Linked DNA regions of Sus scrofa. The protein of the gene in region 3 interacts with the protein of the main gene of each other region in a pairwise test. Links are inferred from orthologs where the notes say so. Each region holds a gene or a part of one and is shown on either strand. Other genes may lie near its edges.

What was found. The genes of interacting proteins can lie anywhere in the genome.
Region 1: the proteins of CCDC155 (region 3) and bcl-2-like protein 2 interact in binary tests that used the Homo sapiens proteins (3 or more experiments, as listed by UniProt). The two-hybrid records come from large-scale screens. The link is inferred for Sus scrofa from reciprocal best matches to the Homo sapiens genes KASH5 and BCL2L2.
Region 2: the proteins of CCDC155 (region 3) and PPP1R18 interact in binary tests that used the Homo sapiens proteins (3 or more experiments, as listed by UniProt). The two-hybrid records come from large-scale screens. The link is inferred for Sus scrofa from reciprocal best matches to the Homo sapiens genes KASH5 and PPP1R18.

Annotation. Positions count from the first base shown.
Region 1 is NC_010449.5:75,767,887-75,772,307, reverse strand, and holds the start of bcl-2-like protein 2, read left to right. Parts: upstream 1-1,564; 5' UTR 1,565-1,679; exon of another isoform or gene 1,680-1,700; intron 1,701-1,953; exon of another isoform or gene 1,954-1,979; 5' UTR 1,980-2,067; intron 2,068-2,544; 5' UTR 2,545-2,552; coding exon 2,553-2,984; intron 2,985-3,611; coding exon 3,612-3,761; 3' UTR 3,762-4,421. UniProt on the Homo sapiens protein: Promotes cell survival. Blocks dexamethasone-induced apoptosis. Mediates survival of postmitotic Sertoli cells by suppressing death-promoting activity of BAX.
Region 2 is NC_010449.5:23,219,439-23,223,784, reverse strand, and holds the start of PPP1R18 (phostensin), read left to right. Parts: upstream 1-1,489; 5' UTR 1,490-1,703; intron 1,704-2,322; exon of another isoform or gene 2,323-2,384; intron 2,385-2,400; exon of another isoform or gene 2,401-2,649; intron 2,650-2,921; exon of another isoform or gene 2,922-3,442; 5' UTR 3,443-3,469; coding exon 3,470-4,346. Other genes in the region: NRM (nurim), read left to right, coding at 72-248, 564-845.
Region 3 is NC_010448.4:54,493,989-54,497,624, reverse strand, and holds part of CCDC155 (protein KASH5), read right to left. Parts: intron 3,616-3,636; coding exon 3,528-3,615; intron 3,239-3,527; coding exon 3,116-3,238; intron 940-3,115; coding exon 881-939; intron 1-880. UniProt on the Homo sapiens protein: As a component of the LINC (LInker of Nucleoskeleton and Cytoskeleton) complex, involved in the connection between the nuclear lamina and the cytoskeleton.

The DNA.
Region 1 (4,421 bases), on a different chromosome or scaffold from region 3:
GCGGCCCAAGAAATGGAAAAAAGACAAAAAAAAAAAAAAAAAAAAGAAAGAAAAAAAGAAAAGATCTTTCTTCTCTAGTTACCGTAGGGGCAGATGGGAATACCAAGGCTTGGACTGGGATAGAAATAAAGGGAACCAGCAGGAACGGAGAATTAGGTTACTTTTTCTGGGCCTTTGGTTAGAGAGTCCTCCAGATGGAGTTGAAGGAAGTGCCAGTTAAGAGTTGGTGGGCTCCAGTCAGAACACCTGAGTGTGCCCTCATGTGGATCAGTGATGGTCAGATGGCTTGCACCCCGTCTAAACATATTGCCATATTTATTTTTTTAATTTTTTTATTTAAAAAATTTTTTTTTGTCTTTTTGCCGTTTCTGGGGCAGCTCCCATGGCATGTGGAGGTTCCCAGGCTAGGGATCCAATCAGAGCTGTAGCTGCTGGCCTACACCAGAACCACAGCAACACCAGATCTGGGCCGCGTCTGCAACCTTCACCACGGCCCACGGCAACGGCGGATCCCCAACCCACTGAGCAAGGCCAGGGACTGAACCCGCAACCTCGTGGTTCCTAGTCGGATTCGTTAACCACTGAGCCACGACGGGAACTCCAACATACTGCCATATTTAAATAATAGACATTCATATAGGTGCATATATATATTTACACGTAACCTGAAAGGACAAATATCAGTTTTGACACTGGCAGCCTCCAGGAAGGGAATGGGAATTGTGGAAAAGGCAGAGGGAGGAAGATTGAGGACTTGTATTTTTTTCTCCGTATTTCTATACTGTCTGACTTTTTCATAGAGAGAACATATTCATGTGGCGTTCTTTTGTGGTTGCAGTGGGTTAAGGGTCCAGCACTGTCACTGCAATGGCTTGGGGTGCTGATGTGGTGCAGGTTCAATCCCGGGCCCCAGGAACTTCCACGTGCCAGGGGCACAGCACACACACCCCTCCCCCCAAAAAAGAAAGAAAACAAGTTCATGTGCTGAGTAGAAAGAATTAAACAGAAGATCTGATTACAAAAAAAAAAAAAAAAAAAAGAGAGAGAGAGAGAGAGAGAGAAAATGAAGAAAAGTTACCTGCAGAAACTGCCTGCGATCCAAGACCTGGCTCCTTGGTGCCTGGCTAAAGCCCCAACGCACAAAGAGACAACTGGGTTAAAGTTCCTGGAGAAAAGAGGAAGTGAGGTGTTTGGTATCTGTATCACATCTGCCAGGCCCACAGGGTGAGACACCTGGCAGGCAGTTAGTTCCCATTGGAATGGGAGCTGATCCTCTTTTCTGGCCCGCTGCTTCAGGGCTGGAGAAGTTCAACAAGTGCATGGAACATCAGAGACCTGGAAATGCTGAATTTGCTCTGAGGTTTCTTGAGGCCCTGTCGGCTTCTCTGAGTAGCCTCCAGGCTCAGGAGCCCTGCCCGGGCCCTCAATGCCCTCCTGGCCTGTGCTTCTCAGTCTCCAGCCACCCGCTTTCTTCCTGAGTGGTGGCCTTTCCCAAGCCTGCGTCCCAGCCCCGCCCCTCTCTCTGGACGCATCTCTGGGCCCCATCATCACCCGGCGCCGGGCCCTCCCTCCCGCCCCCCCTTTCTCCTCCCTCCTTCCTTCCCTCCCTTCCTCCCTCTCTCCCTCCCTCCTAGCTCCTGCACCAGGAAACGGCCCGGATCCCGGCAGCGGCCTGACCCGTGAGATCCTTAACCTGGCAGGCAGGCGGGGTTGCAGACTGGCTGAGGGTGGGGGTGAGGGAGGAGCTGGGCCTTTGGGCTGCACTCGGGGGGAGCCAGGAGTAGAGATGGTGTCGGCAGGAAGCCCTTGGCCCTGGGTTTCCCGGGAGGACAGTCATTAAACATGGATTCGGCCACACAGCTGGTAGAGCGTTGGGGGCAGGGCCCTTGTCCCGGGAGCTGCAACCCCAGCCCTTCTCAGCCCGGACCCTGATCCCTGGTCTTTCCCATCTAGCTCTGATCTCCCCCTCCCCTTCCCAGGGCTCCACGCTGGGCAAGAGGATGAAAGGCCCCAGCTGGGGGCTCCTTGCCACCAGCGCTGGGTCCTAAGAGCTGCCATCCAGGCTGGGTGAGTGTCCCCTTCCTTCTCTGTCCTGGGCAACCCTTGGCTTCTCCTTCTTTCCCTTCAGCCCTGTCTCCTCCCCCATCTTGTGCCTCTGTCAGCATCTTCACATCAGGCCTCTGGGGAGGCCCTAAGCCCCTTCCTCTAGCCAAAAAGGTGTATACCGTGGAGAGGGGGCTTGTAGGGATGTCACAGCCCTGCTGTTGTCTTCTTATGGAAAGAATCTAAAAAAGTATTTTAATAATGAAATTTACTTGTTTTACCTTTAATTTGGCATATTATGAGTTTTAAGGGCCAGGCCCTCATGCCCTGACCCCTCACCATGGCTTAATTTCCTTGTTCTTACCTCTCCCAGGCCAGTGGTCTCTGAGATTTCCTCCCCGCTCTCTCCCTGTCTCACTGGGCTGGCCAAACCTGAAATGCCCCCTTCTGAGTCTCTGACCCTATAATCATGCCAGTGTCTTTTGTGTTTGACTCTGACAGCCGCCCGGATGGCGACCCCGGCCTCAGCCCCAGACACACGGGCTCTAGTGGCAGACTTTGTGGGCTATAAGCTGAGGCAGAAGGGTTATGTCTGTGGAGCTGGCCCCGGGGAGGGCCCAGCAGCTGACCCGCTGCACCAAGCCATGCGGGCAGCTGGAGATGAGTTCGAGACCCGCTTCCGGCGCACCTTCTCAGATTTGGCAGCTCAGTTGCATGTGACCCCGGGCTCGGCCCAGCAGCGCTTCACCCAGGTCTCTGATGAACTCTTCCAAGGAGGCCCCAACTGGGGCCGCCTTGTGGCCTTCTTTGTCTTCGGAGCTGCACTGTGTGCTGAGAGTGTCAATAAGGAGATGGAGCCACTCGTGGGACAAGTGCAGGAGTGGATGGTGACCTACCTGGAGACACGGCTGGCCGACTGGATCCACAGCAGTGGGGGCTGGGTAAGAAGCTTCTCAATTGCTGTTCTGCACATCCCTCCAAAAAGCTGGTCTCCAGGGAGAAGATGGGGGCTCTGGCTGGAGCTGGGGGCAGCTGTGCTGAGAATGAGATGTGAGGTCTGAGTCTCCCTATTTGGGTGGAATGGAATGCCCTTGTCTGGGCATCATTGGACTCTGCCCTCCAGGGCTGCCATGCAGTCATCACTGGGTGGGCTCAGGGTCCAAAGCAGAGTACAGAATACCCAGTAGCCAGGTAGTGCCTGCAGGGAAAAGGCATCCAACTGTCAGGAACCTTTTATACCTGAGTGTATGGCATGGGGGGAGGGGGGTCAGGGATCAGGGATGGGTGGTGGTCAGGCGAGCCTTGGCAAAGGAGGCCCGTTCTGAGCAGAGTTTTTGGCCAGGGAAAGGATGGGATTAGCTTGAGGTAGAGAAGGACAAATGAGCCAGGCGCTCATGGGGGATCAGAGGGGCTGGCAGCCAGTAGAGCTTTGGCTGGAGAGGAGCTAGGGGTGGGGTAGTGCTTGCAGTGGATGGAACTGGAACTCTTCCTCTCCTCTTTTCTCCACTCTTTCCTCTCCTGATATCCCTTTCTCCTTCTTTCTCTCCTACTTCCCTTCTCTCCCACAGGCGGAGTTCACAGCTCTATACGGGGACGGGGCCCTGGAGGAGGCGCGGCGTCTGCGGGAGGGGAACTGGGCCTCAGTGAGGACAGTGCTGACGGGGGCCGTGGCACTGGGGGCCCTGGTAACTGTAGGGGCCTTTTTTGCTAGCAAGTGAGAAAGTCCAGGGCCAGGTGGGGCTAGGTGTGGCTGGGGGACAGGAGAGCAGGAACAGAGCAGAGGAATGCCCTTGGAAGAAGCGGGGGGTATGGAGGGGCATGGAACGGGGATGGGAAGGGGCAGGGTAGCGTGTGAGGGAGCGGAGCATGCCAGGCAGGCGGTTGAGAGAGTGAGCTGGAGACATTGTGGAATGTATTTGGAAAGTCTGGGGGCCAGGAGATGGAGTCATTCCAGGGTCAGGGGGAGGTGGGAGGGATCATGCCTATAGGTGTAGGTACAGAAAACTACCTGGAGCTTGATTTGCAGCCCCGAGGCAGCCCCGAGGCAGGTGGACTTGCTTAAGGGGTTGGCGATTTCCACTGAATGAGCGAGATTTGGGGAAAACACTGAGGGCACATCCCTTTGGCATGGGAGCTTGAGGTTTTCAGGGGATAGGGAGAGGGCTGTGACCGTGGGCACTGGGGACACAAGTGTGCATGTGCACGCGTGCTCGTGTGCATGCTGGGCTGCTTGTCTAATCTGGTGGTGGTGGGACTCCTCTAGGAGAAAACATTCCCTCTTGCGGTGGCAAGAACAAGGTGTGCAGCTCTCTGTCCCTCCCCCCCACCCCCACCCCCTTATCCTGCTGCCTCAAGGCTGAGGGAGAAACACTGTACCC
Region 2 (4,346 bases), on a different chromosome or scaffold from region 3:
GGGGGCAGCCTCTGGGTCTAGGTCTTTCAGGAGTGGGCTGCTCGGATACCCACCCCCTCATCCTTCTTCAGCTGGTGATGCGGTACTGGGAGCCTGTACCCAGGGGCCCGGTATTGTGGGAGGCTCAGGCCGAGCCATGGGCCACCTGGGTGCCCCTCCTCTGCTTTGTGCTCCACGTCATTTCCTGGCTCCTCATCTTCAGCATCCTTCTCGTCTTTGACTACGCAGAACTCATGGGCCTCAAACAGGTGAGGCTCCCAGATCCCTCCCTGAGACCTCTGATTCTTTCCAGAACACCTCTTTCCCTTCCAAGGATGTCCCTCCTCCTCCTTCCTCTTGCTTTTGACTCCCTCGCCTCCCTTTCTTGTAAGATAGTCTCCCCCCAAAGGCCAGAAACCATGGCTCTTCTGGACCTGGGGAAAATTCAGGGGCCCAAGTCTCAGAGGGGTGGTTCTTGGATTGAACCTGAGTTATAGAAGGAGGGTGCCTGGAAGGGGAGGAAAGAGGCAGCCAAGTTGTGACAAGGGCTTGAGTCCACTTCTAAGCCGTTCTCCCTCTCCCAGGTGTACTACCACGTGCTGGGGCTGGGTGAGCCCCTGGCCCTGAAGTCTCCCCGAGCTCTGAGACTCTTCTCTCACCTGCGCCACCCCGTGTGCGTGGAGCTGCTGACAGTGCTCTGGGTGGTGCCCACTCTGGGCACTGACCGCCTCCTTCTTGCTCTCCTCCTTACCCTCTACCTGGGCCTGGCTCACGGACTTGACCAGCAAGACCTCCGCTACCTCCGGGCCCAGCTGCAAAGAAAACTCCACCTGCTCTCCCGGCCCCAGGATGGGGAGGCTGAGTGAGAAGCTAACCCTGGTTCCAAGCCCTACACTTCCTCTCCCTCCAATTCCAAACCCCTTCTCATCCAGGACCTGTCTGCTTCAGACCAGAGACCCAAATCCAAGGACTGAAGGACCTGTCCCTTCCCCTGCTTAAGCCTCTCCTTCTTGGGTCCAGCTCTAGACCCTAAATTGAGTTTCAGCTACTGGACGCCAAGGTCCACTTCTCACCAGCCAGGAAGAGGGAGTGGGAAACTTTATCTTTCTCCTCATAGTTTAGGGCTTGACCCTCCGTTTACAACCTCCTTACAAGGAGAAGGGCCTGGCCTGACCAATCCCCTGGCCCTGTTACTCGCCTCTGCGCCTCAGGGATTCTCTTCCCACATCTTGCTCCACCTCCTAGAAGCTGGACCAAGGTCTGCAAGTTTGACAATAGAGGCTGCCCCCCACCCCCCCACCCCAGGCTCCAGGCCTTGCAGCTGCAGGCCAGCCCCACCGCCTGGCCTCTCCAGCTCCATAGGCCCTTGCCCTTGGGCTCTATCCTCGAACTTAGTTGGGCAGATTCTCCCGCTCTTAATTCAGGTGACTAAGTGCTCCCTGCTCTCCCGAGGAACTCGCGCTACAAGAAAATAAAATCCAGCCTGGTTTTTCTACATGTAGCATGCAGTCTGTCCAGTGCCTCTCAAGCTGCAGGGCTGATTCTGGGAAGGACAGGCGAGCCAAGCCCGAGTCAAGGCATCCGCCGCGCCCTCTGGCGACCGCTGGGCGGCGGCCACTCCCAAAGGACCCACCCCTCCTTCAAATCCCCCAATTTCCTCGCTGCAGATTTGGGGGCCCCGGCAGGAGACAGGTTGAAGCTGAAGAGTGGGGACAGCGGCTCGGGTAAGAAAGCGAGCTTCCGAAACCTTTGGCTTCCGAGCACAGCTCCTGCCGATGCCCCACCACCGCCACCACCACGGGCCCCCCGTAGCCCTGCGGCCGCCCCGGCCCCCACACTAACAAAGGCTGGCCGGGGAAAGCAAAAGCGTGGGGAGGAGCGGCAGGAGATGGGAAGGGCGGGCCCCGCTCAGAGCAGCTGCTGCTTCCTCCCCAAGTCCCTCGAGGGGCCTGAGTCACGGGCCGCCGCCCTGGGTCGGCGAGCTGGGGGCGGGGGGTCTGGACACCTGGGTTATCCCGGGTTACCGGGCGGGAGCCGGGTGAGAGGCCCTGGGGACAGACAGCGTAAAGGCCAGGGCTTGCGGCGGGAAAAGAGGTGTCCGGGAGCCCAATCCCACGCGGGGTCGAAGAGGGCGAGGCTCCGCCCCCTAGTCCGGCTCCGCCCCGCGCCCCCTTCGCTCTTCCCCATTGTCCTCAGACAAAGCGGTCGCCGCCCCCCGCCCGGCCCCCAGGTCTCTGTCTCCGTTCCTCCTCCTCCGCTCCCTCTTTCCCTCCTCCTCCCCCTCCCTCCTCCCCTCCCGCCTGTCTCCGGATCTCCCTCGATCCCTCTCTCCTCCTCTTCCTCTCTCCTCCTCTCTCCGGACACCAGGCTCCTCCGCACCCCCGCCCCCGGGAGCCCCGCGGCGAGTGAGTTGACGGAGGGGCTTCAGACTTGGGGAGGGTGTCTCCTCTCTCCCGTCCCTTCTCCCGTCCCCGGCCCGGACCTTGGGCTGTCTCCTCTTTGTGCCGAGATTGCCTGTCTGTGCGGCCAGAGCCGGCTGGGGATGGCCGGCTATGTCGGGGTTCCGTGAGAGCCGATACCGGGCACGGGACTGGCAGGCTCCGGAGGCGTGGAGCTGGTCCTTCGCATGCCTGGGTCCCGGGGCACCGCCGGTGCAGGAGGCAGGCGGTGGTACGGGGACCGGGTGGGGGTGGACGCCAGGGTTCTGGGAATGTGCTGGCAGGTCTGACGCCCGGGTTCCGAAAGTCCCCGGGGGAGGGTATTTCCCCTGACCCGCCTCGGGGCGGAGTGCGGGGCGGGGGGTGGGGGCTGGGGGGCCGGAGAGGCGTGGCCCGAGCGGAGCTGGAAGGGGAGCCCGGACCTCCGGGGCCCGTGCTGAGACTCGCCGGGCTGCAGCCGCGGAGCTCCCTCACCCCTCTGCCCCGATTTCCCCTTCTCCCCAGGACTCGTCCACTCTCCGCCCTCCCACCTTCCCGACACCCGTGCAGATCCCACTGCCCCCTCTCCGGCGGGATTCCCTGACCTCTCCTCCAGCTCTCAGCGCTCCTGGGTAGCGGTGAGGCAACCTTGCCTGGATCCTGTTCCCGTCACCCCCAGCCTCTCTTTTCTCTTCCTCCCTCGCGCCAACTTCTTTCGTTTTTCAGTCTTCTCACATCCTCGGGACTGTCTGATGCCCATTAACCTGTGCTGACAAATCTGACTCCTACCTCTGCCCTGAATCTCCACTCTTCCTCTCAACTCCCTCCCCCCACCCCCTCTACCTGGCTCTTAGTTCCTTCTTCGCGTTCTCAGTGTTCCCCCTTTTCTGCCCTCCCTCTTCTCCCTCTTTCCCTCTGTCCTTCCTCACTCTCAGCTCCTCTGTCCTCTTCCGAGTCCCACCTCTCCCCCCACTTCCTCTCCGCCCACCCCTATTCTCACCCCCTGGGCCTTTCTGGAGCCTCTCCTTCCTGTTCTCTGCCCCCAGCGCTCCCCCACCCTCCCCAAGTCGACCATGGCCACCATCCCGGACTGGAAGCTACAGCTGCTAGCCCGGCGCCGGCAGGAGGAGGCAGCCGTTCGTGGCCGGGAGAAGGCAGAACGGGAACGGCTGTCCCAGATGCCAGCCTGGAAGCGGGGGCTTCTGGAGCGCCGCCGAGCCAAGCTTGGTCTGTCTCCTGGGGAGCCTAGCCCTGCGCCTGGGACTACGGAGGCTGGACCTCCAGACCCAGACAAGTCTGCCGTCCTCCTGGAGGCCATTGGGCCAGTGCACCAGAACCGCTTTATTCGGCAAGAGCGCCAGCAGCAGCAGCAGCAGCGGAGTGAGGAGCTACTTGCGGAAAGACGGCCTGGGCTCTTGGAGGCCCGGGAGTGGAGATCCAGCCCTGGGGAGATGAGGGATCAGAGCCCCAAGGAAAGAGAGTCTAGAGAAGAGCGGCTCAGTCCCAGGGAGGCCAGAGAGAGGAGGCTGGGGATAGGGGGAGCTCGAGAGTCAAGCCCCAGGCCTTTGGAGTCTAGGGACTGGAGGCAGAGCCCAGGAGAGGCTGGAGACCGGAGCTCCAGGCTGTCAGAGGTGCGGAAATGGAGGCTGAGCCCTGGAGAAACTCCGGAGAGGAGTCTAAGACCTGCAGAGCCTCAAGAACAAAGCCCCAGGAGAAAAGAGGTGGTGGAAAGTAGACTGAGCCCGGCGGTCTCTGACCACGAGAAGCTGGGCCTGACAGACGCCCATAAACGGAGGCCTGACTCCGGAGAGTCTCAGGAACAGAGTCTGGTGCTGGAGGCATCAGAGTGGAGGCTGAGCTCAGGAGAAGAAAGAAAAGACTGCTTGGAGGAATGTGGGAGGAAAGAAGAGAGGACACTTCCAGGGATGGTCCCAGAAGACATTACAGGGT
Region 3 (3,636 bases):
AGCATCCCTCTCCCCAAAATCCAAATGTCCAGCCCCCACACCAGCTTCTGTCCCCGCAGCTCAGCCCCATCTTCCTCCCTTTCCCTGGTGACGCAAGCAGAGGTCACAGCTCTGGGGCCCCCATCCTGCCAGATCTCAGCTTTCCCAGACAAGTCCAATTAGAGGCCGAGGCAGCAGCCTCATTAGTGGCCGAAGCTGGGAGCCTGAGGGAGGCCGGGGGAGGGGGGCGGGTTGGGGGGGGGTGGAAGAGGCACCACAGGAAGGCAGAGGCCCCGAGGAGGAGGGGCAACCGGATATCTAGCGCTTTCTCTGTCCTCAGAGGTTGCACGTGAGCCTCTAACGGTCTCACCGGGCAGAGGCTCACCCCATCCCATCACCAAGCAGCCAAGCTGGGATCTGAACCCAGGCTGTCTGATTCCAGAGCCCCTGACGTCTCCCAATTGTCTGGTTGCTCTCCTGGGGCACAATCTGAGCCTCATTCATCCCAGGAAGCCGTGGGAGGGGTGCGTTCAGTGACCGGGACTGAGTGCCTGAGCTGTCCCCCTTGCCTGACAGCTGTATTCTTGTGTAAGGGTCTCCTACATGAATGCCAGCCCTGCTGGACCCCAAGCAGGGCCTCCCGCAAAGCCACCCCCTCTGGGTGTCCTCCCAGAACCGTCTGGGTCAGGGGCTGTCTCCTCCACAGACGGAAGGTGCTGAGGGCAGGACTGGGTCTGACTCAACCCAGTCCACGGGCCCAGGGTCGCCGCAGCATGAAGGAACGAGGGCAGGAGTGACCCACTGCTCCTTCAGGGCTCTTCCGGGCTCTGCACTCTATCCACTAAGAAGGGGGCGTCACCCCAAGGCAGAGCCGTGGCTCAGGGAGGACCACTCTTCTCACCACATCGATCGCTCCTTCCTTTCGTCAGGAGGGTGTGCTGGTTCTCCCTGCAAGTTGTTCTGCGGGAAAGAAAAGCTCGGGTTTCTCAGGCTGCAACCCCTGCACGAATTCACCAGCTGCTTCTAAGACCTGCCTCCCCCTGGACCCCTTCTCAAGGATGGCTCTACTACCCCTCCGGGGGCAGAAACCAGACACTGGACGGTTGCTCCGGACCCCACCAAGCCTCCTTCCTCCTCGGGACCCGGGACCCAGGTCCTCCCAACCCTCTCACACTCACACAGGCCCCAGAGAGGCTCAGCGTTTGCCCTCCAGGCCCCTGCTCCTCCCAGGTTCCCAGTCTTGGGGCGGCCCTGCCAGCTGCTCTCCCTCAGGACCCAGGTCTCTCTCCATTTTCTGACACCCAACCTTGACTCTGGCCTCATCCACCCACTTGGCACTGTTTACTAAATCCAGCCCTGAGCTCCCGCCTTGTGCACCCGCTGCCCCCAAGCAGCGCCCCCCACCCCTCAGGGCGCCCACCTTAGGAGGTCAGGAAAGGAAAGTTCAGCATCTTGCTGTCTATGCCCTTCCCAGCACCCAGGCCCTCAGCAGGTCGGCAGCCCCATCTTCCCGGGCCCAATTCTCTCTGCCCGTCCTTTTTGCTCCAGCCCCAAGCCCTGGCCTGGCTCGAGCTTCATCCGCTACCTCTGGACCACTGCCCCAGCCTCTTCCCTGGCCTCCCAGCCTCCGGTGGGTGCCCACGTGGCCCTAGCCAGCTTCCCATATCTAGAGCTGACCTGGTACTCCCCACTCACAGCCCTCCCGTGCTTTGATGGAGAACAGCGCAGTCTCTCAGCTTCAGAGACAGGGAACGCCTTTCTTGGTCTGGTCCAACCTCATCTCTCGCTCGCCACCCCCAGCTGCCCTCTACTCCCCAAATATGTTATATGCTTTCACGCTCCATGTCCTTGCTTGTACTGTTCCCGCTGTCTGAGAGGCCTCTCCTCCCTCACCCCACTTAACTGCTCTCTCTCTTTTTATTTATGATTCACCTGCGCCATATGGAAGTTCCTGGGCCAGGAATTGAATCTGAGGCACAGCTGCAACACAGGTCACAATGCTGGATCCTTTAACCCACTGCGTTGGGCTAGGGATCAACCCTGCACCTCCACCACCATCCCAGCCACTGTAATCATATTCTTTTTTCTTTTTTTTTTTGTCTTTTTAGGGCTGCACCCGTGGCATATGGAGGTTCTCAGGCTAGGGGTCGAATCGGAGCTACAGCCACCGGCCTACACCACAGCCACAGCAACACAGGATCCAAGCCTCGCCTGTGACCTACACCACAGCTCATAGCAACGCCAGATCCTTAACCCACTGAGCGGGACCAGGGATCAAACCTGCAACCTCATGTTTCCTAGTCAAATTCGTTTCCTGTGGTCATATTCTTAACCCACTGTGCCACAGCGGGAACTCCAACTTCTCTCTTTTTCTCTTCAAAATAAACTCAAATGTTGGTTTCCCTGTACAAACCTGTGGTTCCTTTGTGGTACAGCGGAAACAAATCCGACTAGGAATTATGAGGTGTGGGTTCGATCCCTGGCCTCAATCAGTGGGTTAAGGATCCGGCATTGCTGTAGTGTAGGTCACAGATGCAGCTCGGATCCCACCTGAATTGCTGTGGCTGTGGCGTAGGTCGGCAGCTGTAGCTCTGATTCAACCCCTAGCATGGGAACCTCCATACGCCACAAGTGCAGCCCTAAAAAGCAAAAAAAAAAAAAAAAAAAAAAAAAAAAAAAAAAGATAAACGCTTAATGTACCTTTATGGTGTCAGGAAGAACAATTCACATACCCCCTTCTCACTGTAGTACCATTTTATATAAGGTGAGTCCTGCCAGTGTTTTTGAAACAACCATCACCACCACCACTACAAAATCTATGTGTTTGCTTTGTTTACTTTTTTTCCCCCTCTTTTGGAAGCGCCCACAGCATGCAGAAATTCTCAGGCAGTAACAATGCCAAATCCTTAACCACTAGGCCACCAAGGAACTCCCACTATGTTCATTTTTATTTCCCACATCAGCTGGCAAGTGCCTAGAGAGGTGGTGTCCCGTTGGGCTTGGGGCTCCATGGCCAGCACCTAGCGGGCCCTCAGCCAACCTCTGCCCTGGGCTGGGGAAGAGGGATGCACATAGCGTCCCAGGCCCCTTTCCCAGTCCCCGGACCTGGCCCTTTCAGCACCCCTCCCATGCTCACCTGCCCCCCAGGTGGGGCTTCAGGTGGAAACTCAGCTTCCTCATTGCTTTCATGGACGACCTCCTCCCACCGCCACACTCCACACAGAGGGCTGGAGAGACCCGAGGCTGCCACTTCTTGTTTCTGGGAGAGAAGTTATTTCTGAGGCCAGGGAGAGTCAGATTAATGCAGAAGATAGGCAAGAGGTGGGCTGGACATGGGCTGAAGTGTGAGGACAGGAGGTGGAAGGGAGCTGGTGTGAGGCTGGGTTGGGGAGTGGGTGGAGGGAGCACCCAGGAAGGGTTTGGTGCCCAGAAAAGGACTGGGTTAGGGATGAGGTTAAAGACGGAGATGGTCCTGGGGAACCGGGATGGGGTGAGAGTCAGGGGTGGGTCAGAGTTGCGGCTGGCAGTGGGTTGGGCGTTAGGCCCACCTGTTGAATGGCCTGGATCTCCACACCCAGTGATGGTGGCAGCAGCCTGGTCCAGTCCACTCTCTTCACCTGAGCCCCTTCGGGAGGCCTGGCCACACAGTTGGGAGGG